2 linked regions of the Lonchura striata genome follow. The protein of the gene in region 2 purifies or fractionates together with the protein of the main gene of each other region. This does not show direct contact. Links are inferred from orthologs where the notes say so. Each region holds a gene or a part of one and is shown on either strand. Other genes may lie near its edges.

The links. The genes of interacting proteins can lie anywhere in the genome.
Region 1: the proteins of CDK5RAP2 (region 2) and PCNT purify together in Homo sapiens (co-immunoprecipitation; 4 studies listed by BioGRID and IntAct, with this or other methods). This does not show direct contact. The link is inferred for Lonchura striata from reciprocal best matches to the Homo sapiens genes CDK5RAP2 and PCNT.

Annotation. Positions count from the first base shown.
Region 1 is NC_134610.1:33,103,135-33,110,184, forward strand, and holds the start of PCNT (pericentrin), read left to right. Parts: upstream 1-4,007; 5' UTR 4,008-4,087; coding exon 4,088-4,141; intron 4,142-7,050. Other genes in the region: C8H21orf58 (uncharacterized protein C21orf58 homolog), read right to left, coding at 45-104. UniProt on the Homo sapiens protein: Integral component of the filamentous matrix of the centrosome involved in the initial establishment of organized microtubule arrays in both mitosis and meiosis. Plays a role, together with DISC1, in the microtubule network formation.
Region 2 is NC_134624.1:1,084,650-1,092,435, reverse strand, and holds the start of CDK5RAP2 (CDK5 regulatory subunit-associated protein 2), read right to left. Parts: upstream 3,045-7,786; 5' UTR 2,917-3,044; coding exon 2,864-2,916; intron 2,747-2,863; coding exon 2,685-2,746; intron 2,040-2,684; coding exon 1,972-2,039; intron 1-1,971. UniProt on the Homo sapiens protein: Potential regulator of CDK5 activity via its interaction with CDK5R1. Negative regulator of centriole disengagement (licensing) which maintains centriole engagement and cohesion. Involved in regulation of mitotic spindle orientation.

The DNA of each region.
Region 1 (7,050 bases), on a different chromosome or scaffold from region 2:
CAAAAAGCAGAGCAAAGGTGACCCATGCAGAATTATTCCCCTACCTTTTCTAGGAGTTTGAGTTTCAGTCGTGTCAGGTGATCCACCACTGAAGGATCTGCCATTATCTTCTGGAAGAGCAGGCAGGCAAAAGCAGGTTAAAAAGCTAAACAGAGACAGATAGGCTTTCAGTGCTCATTTTTTTCCCCCTCCACAATTTTCACAGAATAATACCATTATTAAAAAACAGTAATACAAGATGAGGAGAGATTGAGAGAAGCAGATAAAAGCTTCAGTTTCACTCCCAGGCCAGAATGAGAACAGGCATTCATAAGTTCACAGACACAGCTTTTTCCTGCCATTTCTCTCAACATACTTTTGTGCTGCAGGTTGTGATGTTCACAGGAAGGCAACTGAGACTGAATATTTATTTATTTGTCTCTTCCTAATGGTTGCTATCCTTCCCCTGGCAGCATCTCTAAGCCTGGCCTCTGTGTTGTTAGAGACTTTTAATTAGCTCAGAGATTTGTGTCTGTAACCTGGTTGCTAAGTTTATAGTGTCAACAGGTAACATAAACAATTTAATCTCCAAGCACAGAAGCTTGTGTACCTTTGGTAAAGCAAATGCCTGGCACATTAGTGGACAAGAAAAAAAGAAATAAAAGCCAATGGTTCTTTAAAACAAGGCCAGTGCCAGCAGTCAGATTATGATCTTGCTGACTGGTACCTGTTTATTCCCCTACAGGGGGTCTGCACACTTCTGACGTAGCTCTTTACGTGAGTTATTACCACAGAGTGACTGAAAAAATTAAGGAGCATAGGTGGAACTCTCCCCTGGCTAAGTGAAGAGGCTATGGTGTAACATCTCCCAAGAAACCTGTAGAATGTCTCCCTCTCCCAGCATAAAAACAGGGTCACATTTATCAGTGACATCCATAAAATGAACACCAAGGCAAGAGAAAAAAAGCCAAGGAACAGATACACCTTCTCAGTAGGATATTTTAAGCCCAAGAGAGTCAAGTTACAATCCACTGCTCCCAGGAGACAAGTTACAAGCCTCTCCTCCCTCAAAGGACACAACAAAACTGCAGCAGAGCCACTGCTGGCAGCTGGAGCAGTTCAGAGATGTGTGAGAGCAGTACAGATCACCTGCCCCAGCTGTGACCCACACAGCCCATCCCTAAAAACACACAGGCTGGAAGGCACTGGAGAAATTAGGGCAACTAAGGTGCAGGGATCCCTAAAACAGCTGTGCTGTGCCCGAGCTGGGGCAGGGCTTTGTGGTGAATGGCAGGAGCAATGAGCCAGAACAGAAAATCCTCTCACCTGCCAGCAGCTCTCCTGGGAAACAACTCCCAGTCCAATTCTCTACTTGAAAACACCAAACAGAATTTTCTCTAACATCTTTGACTGCTTCATCTGAGCAGCTGCAGCTCAGACAGCTCCTAACTTATAAGTTCATAACTTATAAGTTCCTAACTTATAACTCCACAACTCCTAGTTATGGAGTTTCCTAAATTATAGGAAACTCCATAACTAGGAGTTTCCTAGTTATGCCTGTAAACTGCATCAGCATAGCTTGTTTCTGTGCTGAGAGAGAAACCCACCACTTTTGGATTGCTGGCTGGTTATTTTATCAACAGTGCTCCTAAAAGCTGAATTTCTAGACTTCACCATCGTATGAATAGAGGGTTACAAGAGAACTTGACGAAAATAAACAGGTATGAGTATTGCATTAAAAATACAGCACCAGTGTGAAGCAACTGAATTTCCTAAAGAGGAAATGAAGAGAAATTTTTGCTTGATGTAACAGATAGCCCAGAGAAAATCTAATACTAGGGGGTAGGGAAATTTTTTTTTTTTTTTTTAATGGCACTTTCTAGCAAACCTGCTAAAGGAGCTATCTCTTCCCACACTTATGGATGCCTTGGTCACAGTGTGATCCTTACCCTTGGGACATCTTAGAACCTGCTCATTAATTGGGTGCCAGGAATGTGCCAGCCACACACAAAATCTTGCTTGAAGGGATCTGTAGCTACACTGAATCCCAAACAATGGATCACACTTGAGAATGAGGATTCAAAAGAGCAAAACCAGACAAATTTAATCCTACAGAGGAATAACAGGTGTGTTACATGCACCTCAGAGGACATCATTATTCTGCTCTATTTAGCAGTGCTGAAGTCAGAGTTTGGACACTGCACTTAGTTTTAGACATGGTGGTTCAAGAGGGAAGGAAAGTCCAGGAAAAAGAAATAATAAAAAGGTTCAATTTACAAAATGTAGGTTCCAAGGAACACTTCAAAAGAACTGACTTTGTTCAATTAGTAAGTAGATGGTGAAAAGAGGACAGGCCAGCAGTTTTTAAATAAATTAGAGGATACAATCAGAGTGGGGTGAAGGGTGGGGGTTGTATCTGGAAAAACACAAGTATTTGGCTTAATGAGGAAGAGAAAAACTGATAAAACCAGGGAAAGAAATCTTCATTAGCCACTAAGGGAAATGATGAAGCAGCTATCAAAAAAACCCCCAACTTTCACACAAGTTGTTTACAAACAATTATAAAACCAAACTTGTTGAACATTGCAGGATCCCTCAGATATAAGAATGGATTAGATAACCTGATGAGGACCATACCAGTATTGAATTCTTTGATGTCTTGTATTGATTTTGATGTTTTATACCTTAATTTTAATTTCTATGAGTTCTGAAAGACAATTTAAAAGGATGTTATGATAACAACCAAGATGATTAGAGGGGTGGAGCAGCTCTGCTTTGAGGAAAGGCTGCGAGAATTGGGATTGATCAGCCTGAAAAAGAGATTTTGGGGTGACCTAATTGTGGCCTTCCAGTATCTGAAGGGAGCCTACAAGAAAGATGGAGAGAGGTAATTTACAGGGGCCTGGAGTGGCAGGACAAGGGGAAATGACTTCCCACTGACAGAGTAGGTTTAGATTGGATATTAGGAAAAAATTAATTTCTGTGAAGCTCTGGAACAGGTTGCTCAAAAAATCTGTGGTTTCCTGATCCTCGGAGGTGTTCACTGAGACATCTCATCATTCAGACTTTGTCTTTTGGCGTTGCCCTCGAGGCAGATGGGCTTTTTAATGCTTGCCAATCCAGCACACTGCTCCAAGTAACAGATTTGACTAAAGCCTGTATTTTTATAATTTAATGATTTCAAAACACACACAAAAAAAAGCCACTAGCTTTGTAGCATCAATAAGCAGAGCAAAAGGGAGTTGAAGGTTGGACATGTGGGACCTTCAACATATGGCCCTTCAAGGACGTTGGAGTAACCAGAAGACTCCAGAGGAGATAAAAGCCTGGAAAGCTGGAGACAACTCCACGTCCGAGAAAATGACGATAGAGGGATGAAAGAATGACAACCAAATTAGCATGAAGAGCAAAAAATCAATTAGTAACACAGGACAGAATACTGATTACCGAAGACAATCATGCACCTCAGAACCCATGGCCATTAACTGATTTCTTCACCGAAAATTTACAAATAAGCGAAAAGGCAGGAAGGGAGCCAACAACCCTCGCTGCGCCATAATGGCATCCCCAGCCTCGCCTACATTGGCTGTCCGCGCTTCCCATTGGCTGTCCGCGCTTCCTATTGGCTGTCCGCGCTCCCCATTGGCTGCCCGCGCTCCCCATTGGCTGTCCGCGCCTCCCATTGGCTGTCCGCGCTCCCCATTGGCTGCCCGCGCTCCCCATTGGCTGCCCGCGCTCCCCATTGGCTGCCCGCGCTCCCCATTGGCTGGCTCCCGCGCTGGGCGGGAACGGCGCTCCTTTTGAAATGGCGCCGGGCGCTCCCATTGGTGGCTGCCGCGGGGGGGGCGGGGCCGGCGGCTGGCGCCGGCTTGCCCGGGGTATCCCAGCAGCCATTTAGCAGGAGTGGGCGGAGCCCGGCGAAGAGAGCCGTTCCCATTGGCCAGAGGCCGCGGCGCGTCGGGAGCTGCGGCCAATGGCTGCGGAGCTCCGCCCGCGCGGTGCGGCCGGCGCGGCGGCGGCGGCGGCCATGACCGGGGCTGCGCTGCCATGACCGGGGCTGCGCTGCCGCCGTGAGGGCGCGGGCGGCGCGACCCGGCCCCGCCGCCGCATGGAGACGCCGGAGGAGGCGCGGAGGCGCAAGCTGGAGGCAGGCAGGGCTAAGGTGAGGGGAAGGGGTCCCGGTGCGCTGGGAGAGCCGGCAGGCCCTGCGTGTTTCGCTTTACCCGGCCCGGGTCTCGCCCCTCCGTGGCGGGTTTCGCGCCGCGCTCGGATGTGGGTGCGGGGCGCCGGCCCGGCTGTGTCCCCTGCAGATCCCTTCCGGCAAGATTCCGTGTGTGGCTGGCTCATTCCTGGCCCCCCGTTAATGAGCAGACGTCCCCAGAGGAAGGACCGCGGTGGCCCCGCGGCAGAAGTCGTGCAAACATTGCCTCGGGCCGACAGAGCAGCTGACAGCAGCGCTCCTACCGCCCTTCGGGCTCTGTTTTCCGTGCTTGTTCTTTGCTGCCTGCCAGCGCTCCCGGTCTTGCCCAGGATTCGGTGTTTGTGGGAATGCTGCGTTTCCAGCTGAGGGTCCCAAGGAGCGGGTGCTGGTTTATTACTCGGCCGGCTCACTCGCTTGCCTGGTGCCCGCAGGGAGAGCAGAGAGCTGGGCTCCGTTTGTTGGTTTCCAGTCATGCCGGAAGCAAACACTTCATAAGCTTTGAATAGTCAGGTGTCTTCACTGGGGTGTAGTTTAGGGACTTGTGTAGCGTTCACAGGATATAAAGATAACACTCTCCAAGTAATTATTACCTGCAACCATGTGTTTAACGCTGGTTGTGTTCTAACCCCGTTAGATAAACACTTCTGCTTTGTTTTGGTAACTATGTTCAAGGAGCTGATTGGAAATGTTTGGTTATTTTCCTTTCAGTTCAGCATTTCTGCTGGGTTTTGAGCTGGTTTTGTCATGTTTCTGTTCTGGCTGTCCCTGCTAAATAAGGCTTTTTAGTTCTCACCATTCCATTAGACTGGAGGGGGCTGTAGCTAGAGGAAGTTGTGACCCATCAGATCTTTCCAGATCCTTTACTTTTTGCAGGGAACCTGTCTGGATATCTGGCTAGTGGAGTCAGAGGTGGCTTGGAGCTGTCCTGTGTGTCTGCTGTATTTCTGTTTTAGCTGCTTTCCACAGTGCTGTGCACAGGAAAGTCAAAGAGAGCTTTTGTGGAAGGGAGCAGGGTTGTAGCTGAAGCTGCAGCCTGGTGATGGGCAGTAGAGTTCCTCCTGCCCTCCCTGATGCTGCCATGGATTCCACACTGCCTGCTCCTGCTCAGCAGTTTCTCATCTGCCTGCCTTCCCAGCCTTGTTATGTGCTGTGAGAACACAATCCTCTGCTGGAGAGCAACTGTTCCAGAGAGAGAGCTCTGAAAGGATTTCTTAAGGTTGAAAGGTTACCTTAGTATGGCACAACCTCTGTTAACATTTCTGTTAACATAGATTAATTCCAGGTGCAGGAGTTTTTTTATTATTAGAAAAATGTGACAGACTTAGCTTGAGTAAGTTATTAGTTCCCACCTGTTGGCAAACTGTTGTTTACCAGTAAAAGAAACAAAAAAAAAAAACCAAACAGGGACTTGCCTTATGTTCTTATGTTTCAAGTTTTGCCTTCAGAGCCAGGATTGCATTTACTATTTTTTATACTGTGTGCTAAATCTCTCTTCCCATTAAAAACAAAAAGCAAACCAGGAACAAACATGATTGGCAGCCCCATCAATGTTGCTGCTGCACAGAATGCTAAGAGGAGAGGGAGAGTTTTAGAGAGGCAGAGATAGATGTAGCACTTCCCCTGCTGATTAAAATGTCACAGAGATCTATTCCTTGGCTGGCAGACTGTGGGCACCAGACAGCTTTCAAAAAGCACCCAGGTGACATTTCCCCTTTCTTATTCCTCTGCTTTTCATTTTTCTATTTTTCTTTCTGCTCCCCTCCTCATGGATATAGCACAGTTTTGAAAGGGAGGAAGAATTGTGAGCAAGTGCAGGTTCTCCTTGCTGTGGTGCAGCCTAGAGCAGCTTAAGGAGATCCATCTCTGGTGTGACACAGAAGTGTTCAGTGTCCATCAGATCAGCTTTCTGTACCATCTCTAGAGGAGCTCCTGGCAGGAGTGAGGCTGGCTTGTGTGTTAGAGGCCTCTGTTGTAGCAACCTGTGCACTGATGTAACTGCAGGTTGATGCTGCTTCACTCTGGAGGGCTTTTTGCCTCACCCCCACCCTCCAGAAATGAATTATTTCATCTTTAGCATCCTTAGATTTTAGTCTGCTAAGCAATGACTTGGCAAAGAAACACGATCTACATGTTCTCCTTTTCATTATCAAATGTTCTTTTTCTTATAGGAATAAAAATTCCATTATTAAGATGCATTTAAATGATCACCTAATAACATTTGTAATGTAACTGTTATATTTGTAATGTAACTGTTATATTTGTAATGTAACTGTTATATTTATTGGAGACTGTAATTGGCAGCTAAGTACCTGACTGTATCAGGTACCTCAGATTCCTATTTCTAACAAATGCAAAATACTGATAGCCAGTTTAGTATTTGAGAAACAGAACAAGCCTAATTATTCAGTGCTGCCTTTTTCTCCTCGTTTGTTTCTACCTCACATTAATTAGTCTGCATGTTGACCACCTGTGCCTCTAGTTACAAAGCTCTCTGTGCCACACTTCAGGTGTGGCAAGTTTTGCTCTGCTTCCATTTTATAGTTAGGACCTTAAAAATGAGTGCAGGTTTTCCAGGAAGTTTTCTCATCATTTTGAGGAAGGTCTAGAATATATTTATTGGTTTTGTCTAAGAGTACTTGTTGCTTATGTTTGCTGTATCCAAGAGCTGGACTAATGTTTATTTGAACAACCTCTTTTCTGTTTGGTGCTGATGTGGTTTTCTGCTCTGTTCTGTTTTCCCTGGGTGTTGGTTTTGATGCTAATTTCTGAAGCATGTGAAGTAATGCATCAGCTTTTAACCAGCTGGTCCTGGTGAATTGAAGTTGCAGTGCATTGGTACCTATAGAAAGGTGTCCTTGTGTTTCAACAGC
Region 2 (7,786 bases):
CATTTTGATTTCTGTATTTAAACAAAAGGAATGAAAACCAAGACAATTATATACATCCTGCACAAAATATTCCACAGCATGAACAGCATGGCAGCAAATCCTAGCTCAGATGAGCTCTGTTCCAAGCCTGCATGGAGCCAGTTTTGTTCAAAAGGGATTTGTCAGCAGTGGCTGAGGTTTCACAGCACAACAGTTTTCAACTATAAAGGCTGTTTTAGATTTACAGTAAAACTCTAAGAAGGATTGGAGAGACAAGGAAGAATCCCACAAATACTATTAGCCAGCTCCCTTAAGTGATACCCATGAACACCTCATTACCCATAACAAGGTCCTCCTCAGAGATGCTTTTCACTTTGCCCATGTAATCATATTTTCTATAACAGAATGGTTACCTCCATATTGCAACAAAGTGGGACTCCATAAATAATTCAAAAATCTGCACCTCCAACATTGCACAGCTCAGCACCTGCTCCAGGTATAAACATTAAAGGACCTTTCCTACATGGATCCACTTTTTAGCCCATTTAAGGGTCATTACATCCATCCTGTTCTCTCTGAGCTATGAGGTCAGAGCTCATTCTTTTCATTACATCCTACTTATAGCCTATAGGAATAACAGAGTTATAGAAATAAGTTTACTGTGTTTAATGTATATTCTTCTTCCTTCATGTCAGTGGATCTTTGAGCTTCATTACACTACTGGCATCCAGAGTTTACATCCCAGGGGAAGTTTTACAGCTCAGTTTACCATGAGGGGTCTGAGCATAGCAGGATGCCAGACCTGTGGGGAGGCCCCTGCTCTACATCACACAGGACACACAGCAACAGATTTTTCCTTCTTTCTGCAACTTCTTGTTCCCGTGCCCAGGAACCCTGCAGACAGTAAAACACTAGCAAAATGTATATTCTGGACAGGGGTCTTTGGCACACATCACAGTAAAAGATTTTAAGCACATAGCAATGCCAAGGCAGTGTCTGTCTACCCCAGCCAACACACAGAAACAAGAGAGAAAGGGAAATAGATACAGACTGCAAAAAAACATCCTTTTCACCAAAGGCTTTCCAAAACAAGCTTTACATTCTGAGCAAAGAGCAGAGCTTTCTTCTCAGAGGTCATGTAAGGCCATAAGAAACTGAAAGAGTTTGTAAGAAACGCTCATTTCAAACACAGCATTGCCACAAAAGGTAGCAGCAGCAGCACACTGAAACTGCAGACTCTTGGCACAGCCCAAAGGCAGCAGTCACAGCTTTTATCTCTAGCAATCATCTCAGAGATTTCAGACTGCCTTCCCCTCTACAGCTTCTTCACACAACAATAAATACCTTAAAAGTTTTTCACTCTAGTCCTTAACTGGGAAGTTGTCCTGCAACACAGCCCAATCAAACCATCCAGCAGACATAAACAACTGTCTTATTCAATTTTAAAAGCCTGTATAGTTAACATATTTTTAAAAATCTAATGTTTTCCCTTATATTCTAGTAAGTGCCAAAATACTTTTATCTACAAAACTGTCACAATGATACTGGACTTCTACAACACAAGCATTCCAAGCACACTCATGCTATGACGTTAAAAGGCATTATATTAAAGTCAATGAATTAAAAAGCCAAATCCCACACTAACCTAAATGAAAATAAACTTGATGCTTCCCTGAAATAAATCAGCAACAGATGTGCAAACCAAGTTCTGATGTTTCTGAGCTGCAGGAACTTCTGAGCAGAGGGTGCCAATTTTGTTTCACAACTTCAGCACAGCAGTTGGCCACTCTGAGCAACAAATTCCTACCTCAGTTTTTGAAAGCAGCACATAAAAATGGAGGTTCAAGGAATGGACAGGGACATTCACCTGGTCACACCTCCAAAAGATGTGTATCAACTGACACAAACTAAGAGTCAACACATCAGCCAGCACGTTGGAAATATCTTGGCTATCAATTTGTCACTGAGTCTTACATTAAAAGTTCTGCTTACATTTTCATAATCCTTCATGGTCCGAGCTCGAGCTGGTGAGACTGTGTCTTCTGCCACATCTGGTACCACTAGACATTAAGTAGACAGAACAAGTTCAGACAGCAGAATCTCTCTAAGTAGGGCTTCAATTTGGCAAAGGTCTACACTAATCTAAACACAACAAAACCTTTAGGGAAGTGACAGAGTCGCTGCTTGGCCCCCTGTTTACATTACGTGCCAGTATCTACATTCCTTTCTGATCACAGAAAGCTGTCTATCACATAAACTCCCAAATTCCATTACCCACCTAAATGATGATGCACACTGGAATTCGGCTGTGTGAGGTGCGCTGTCAAGAATAAACCCTCACAGCAAGAACTGGGAGATGCACAGCGCGCAGCTTCCCGAGCCCTGAGCAGAATGTGACCGAGCAGCGCGGCCCCGCTGGATATTCCAAGTATTTTAAGTACACGCCGCACAAAACCGCTGATCATCTTATATAAGGCTGAAAGCCCTCATGACCACAGGCAGCGAGCACACAGCAGTGACGGCAGCAGCTGTCGTGTTAAAAACTCTTAAATTACGTTAAAAAGCGCATCACTTAAAACCTTTTTTTTTTTTTTTTCGTTTTTGCCGCCAGTTTGAGTTCCTTTTTGCCGCAGGTTTGGGGAGCAGCGCGAAGCACCGAGCCGGGCAGGGAGGGATGCGCGGGCTGCGGCCGCGACCAGCCTTACCTTGTCGGCCGGGCGGGCCGGGCGGGGGGTCCCCGCGGGAGATGTCCGGGAGCTGCAGGGCGCTGGGGAAGAAGGAGGAGAGCGCTGAGAGCACAACCCCGCGGGCTCGCCCCCCTCACCCCATCGGCGGCCGGGCCCGCCACACGCACCGCGCTGCCCCGCCCGCAGCTCCCCCGTACCTGCCCTCGAACGCCAGCGGCAGCGTCGGGTCCTCGCCCGGCAGCGAATCCATGGACGGGCCCCGCGGCTGCCGCGGCTCCCGCCGCCTTTGTGCGCGGCTTTGGCGGCTTCCCTGGAATTCAAACGCCCGCAATCGCTTCCGCCATCTTCGCGTCGAGCGCGCTGAAGCCGCCGCGGGGCGCGCGGGGGGCGGGCGCAATGGGAACGCAACGGGAGCCGCCCTGTTTGATGAGGGCAGCGGCCATGTCGGCTGAGGGCAGAGCGGGGCGGCCGCTGCGGGCAGAGCGGGGCGGCCACTGCGGGCAGAGCGGCCGCTGCGGGTAGAGCCGGGCGGCCGCTGAGGGCAGAGCGGGGCGGCTGCTGAGGGCAGAGCGGCCGCTGAGGGCAGAGCCGGGCGGCCGCTGAGGGCAGGGCAGAGCGGCCGCTGAGGGCAGGGCGGCCGGGCGCTGTGAGGGACGGAGCCCCGCGCTGACCGCCTGAGGGGACGGGGCGCCCGAGGCGGCGCGCAGCGAGCGGGGAGCGGGTGATCCCCGCCGCTGCCCGGGCCCTGCTCCATTACCGCACCCATTTGGAAGGGAGGCACCAGGCGCCGGCTCCTGCCGAGCCTGGCAGAGCCGCTGGAGCTGGTGTTCACCGCGTTCCCCGCTGCGCAAAGCCGTCACTGGGCTTGGCGGAAGAAATAAACACGCGTTAGTTCCACGTTCTGGTCACTGCTCATCGCAATCGGCCTGCTGCAGGCAGCTGCTGACATCGTCCGCACGGGCGGGTTCTGAATCATCTGGGAATTTTTTTGATGAAGCAAAGTTGTAAGCGTGTCGGCTGTCCCCCTTTTTGTGGGAGAAAATGCCACCGCATTCGATATTTCTGAACATCGAGCTGAACGGGATAAAACGCTGCTGTTGTGGCCCCTCCTGCGCGGGGCATGGCCTGGGTAACAGCGCCGGTCACAGGTGGAGCTCCGGACCCTGCTTGCTCTGCATCCTTTGCCTTCCTTAAATTCATTTAGAACCCGTGTGCAGGATTGAAATACCCCCGGCGATATTTACATGATCACAGAGTCACAGAATTATTTAGGCTGGAAAAGACCCCTGAGATACGGAATCCAACCTTTGACTAATCCCTGCCTTGTCAGCCAGCCCAGCGCACTGAGTGCCATGTCCAGTCGTTCCCTGGACACCTCCAAGGACAGTGATTCTATCACCTCTCTAGGCAGCCCCTTCATAATGTCTAATCACCCATTTTGTGAAGAAATTTCTCCTGATGTCCAACCTGAACCTTGCCCCTACAGCTTGAAGCCGTTCCCTATTGTCCCTATTGTTCCCTGGAGCAGTGCCCGACCCCCCTGGCTGTCCCCTCCTGTCAGGAGCTGTGCAGAGCCACCAGGTCTCCCCTGAGCCTCCTTTTCTCCAGGCTGAGCCCCTTCCCAGCTCCCTCAGCCTCTCCTGGGGCTCCAGCCCCTTCCCTGGACACGCTCCAGCTCCTCAAGGTCTTTCTGCTCACAAGGGGCCCAGAACTGGACACAGCACTTGTGGAACCTCACCCGTGCTCAGCACAGGGGACAATCACTGCCCTGCATCTGTGGCACACTATTGCTGGTATAAACCAGGAGCCATTGGCCTTCTTGCCCACCTGGGCACTTGTTCAGCCATGTCAAACAGCACTCCCAGGTCATTTTCTACTGGGCTGCCTTCCAGCCACTGCCCCAGAGTGCATCAAGAATCAAGTGGGACTCAAGTCCCTCATGCTGGGACTTGCTCTTAGCATTCTCTGTAACACAAGGAAGCACAGGAGTGACCCTGTGCATTAGATTTGGTTTCCTCTTTTGGATTTGGTTTCCTCTTTTGTACCAACTCAGGTCAGGTTTCACTCACTTTCCTTTAGACTATCTCAAGGGGACTCTTACCCAGCCAGGAATTAGGCCACGGATAAGGGCTGACCACAGGCCATGAATTCTGTGAGCTCATTATTCCCAGTTCTGTGAGTTTATTATTCCCAGTTGGCCTGGTGCCCTGTGAACTTCACTTCCTCCATGTACCTGCACTGTTTACATTGGCACTCACCTGTCAAATGCCCCAGACTGGTGGGAGCAGCCACTGCAGCTCTGGATGTGTATGGTCATGATGGGCTTCCCATCCCTGCTTAATTCTTTCAGCTTCATGTGTACAAGTGCCTGACGGAGCTGCAGCAAAGTCCCAAACTGCCAGAAGTGCCAGGCACTACTTAGCACAAGTAAAGCTCTTCAGCCCATCTCCTGTCCAACTGGACAAGCCTCATGCTTTGCATTTGGGGTCTGATGACCCCAAGGGATGTTTAGTCCCTTCAAGTCCCCGTGAGAGACCTCAAGAGACACTGGTCACCTTATGTGACTGAAACCCTTTTGCAGTGGCCTCTGCCAAGCTGAAATTAAGTTCACAAAATCAGGTCTGCCATATGGCACCAGGATCTGATCAGCCAGGCTGAAATGTGGGTTTTCCTCATTTACAGAGCAGATCTTCATAAAATGAGTAAGTCCACTCACTTGAAAGGATAATACCAATTTGTTTAATCTTGTTTAAGGTTTCAGCGAGGTGTTACATATTTGATGTGGGTTTTTAAATCAGCATCCATCAGCCACAAGTGCAGGGTAAATTACTCTGCACACAGAGCACACAAGTCTGCAGAGTCACAGCTCACACACATGTCCAACACACTGTAGTCAAAATAAAATCAGCAGGGCCCTCCTTGTGAAGTTCATTACTTCATGAAGTGGCTGTCTGATGGACAAAGATAAGGATATATAGACATACATCCCTGCCTATCTTCCCTGGAAGTGCTCAGGGGCAAGGTGGCTTGGAGCAACCTGCTCTAGTGGAAGGTGTCCCTGCCCATGGCAGGAGGGGAAATGAGATGGCCTTTTAGGTCCTTTCCAACCCAAACCATTCTGTGGTCCTATGATTCCATGTATACACACAGCCAGGATGGAAAATTTCCCTGGGAAATTTCCTGCACTGCCCCATGTTTTACAACCCGCAGTAGCATCAGGAAGCTGCAAGGGGCAGAAAGGACTGGGAAATGTGTTGTTTAGAAGTAGTTAACAACATGCCTTCAGATAATCTGCTTAGTGTTGTTTAACCTTAAATTCATTAGCAGCACATTTGGGGAGATTACACTAAACCCTCACACCAGGAAGCTTTGTTGGAACTTTCTTTCTTCTCAAGGCAGCCTGAGATCCTTCCCACCTCAGGCAAAGTCCTAAAGGGAGTCTGGGAAAGGATTTCTGGGCAGTGCAGTGTAGGGCTGAGCTGAGCAGGACGGGAGCCAGCTGCTGGCTGTGCTGGCACAAGGAGGGCTGATGTCACCACCAGCTGAGCACGGGTCCCCTCACCCTGCTCTTCTCACTCCCTGCTCTGGGGACCTGGTTCAGACTCAGTTCTGCCTCCTCCTCACACCATTCACAGCAAGATTCTTCCTAAGTTAGGTCATGCACGATCCAACCGCTCTGCTAATGCAAATCTCAATAAACTCCCTTGAATTTCACCAGTGTGGCCCTTACTTACACAGCCCAGTCAAACCTCTGCATGAACACTTAAAAACACATGCTCGATCAGTGTATGAAGCCTTACCTCTCCAAGTTCTTTGCTTAACAAGAATTGTAGAGTCACACAGAGCTTTCACCAAAAAAGAGCCTTTAGCAGTCGTTTGCAAAACAAAATCAATTTCCTAACTCTGCCAAGTGAGAAGGAAATGCAAGTTTTCCACAGGCCTCTCTGCAAACACTCCCAGAACTGATGCCACAGATGTGGATTTCAGAATATTTGTAAGAAAAATGGCCTTTGAAAGACATCTGTGGTCATGGGGAAAAGTCTGATACAATATCCTCATCCCATTTCCAGCTTTGCTCTGAGGGTTTTGTTGCTAGTGATTCACATCTCTGACAAAATGTGTCCATGTGAATGATACAGAAAACAGTGGGAAAACAGTGATTGCCTGTGGAGCTCCCAAACACAGCTGAGGGCTGGGATTGTTCATAGCAGACACAAGAGATCAGAGGGTTCATTTTTCAGTTGGATTTTCTGACACAGAATGTCAACTGTGCTTATGAATATCTGTGATAGAAAACATTTTTGTGCCTTGGTTCTCATCTCGCATACAGGGGCATAATGAAGAAATAATTCTCTTGGAACAAATGTTATTACTGGGATGAGATTGGATTCAATCCTTTCTGTCACTGGGAAGACTCTTGCTGAAATTCAATGAACAAAAACACGAATGCAAAAATCCAAGTGGCATAGATACAAATTATATACATTTATTTTTATTCATTTTAAATAACATTCTTCTGTATAAATTCTGACATATATTCAAATCATACACTTTTTTTTTTCTTTTTAGAAATGCATTTGTAAGCATAGCATATGCTTGGGAGACGCCGTATTTGGATGTAGAGTGAGACTGATGGGTTTCAGATGGGAGCAAGTAAAACTTTTAAGGCCCACATTTTTCTTATTTTAATCCATTCCTCTGACACATAAAGAGCAGAGTCCTGTGGGAGCTCAATCTAAATTTCACTTCAAAGAGAAAACTATTTTTATATCCTTTATTTAAAGGAGACTGCAAACTTTCTGCCACATTTACATTGCCTGTAACATTGAAGAGGATGATTCTGCACAGCAGTGGTTAACTGGCCCAGGATACCTGAAGGATGTTGGATATATCCCCTCCTCTTTCCTAAATGCCTGCTAAGTTTGCTCAGCCTGGTCCAAAGGAATTATCATTCCAGTGGCTGACATCTCCTGAAGCTCCCCAGGGCTAGTGCTCCTCGTAGCTATTTCCAGCTACAGTGGTCCACGAGATTGGACAGCATCTCTCCTCATTAGCCCAACTTTTCTGCACGTGTGTTGCACTCCAAGTGCTCCCCAAGCTGAGAGCCCTGCAAGCTGCCC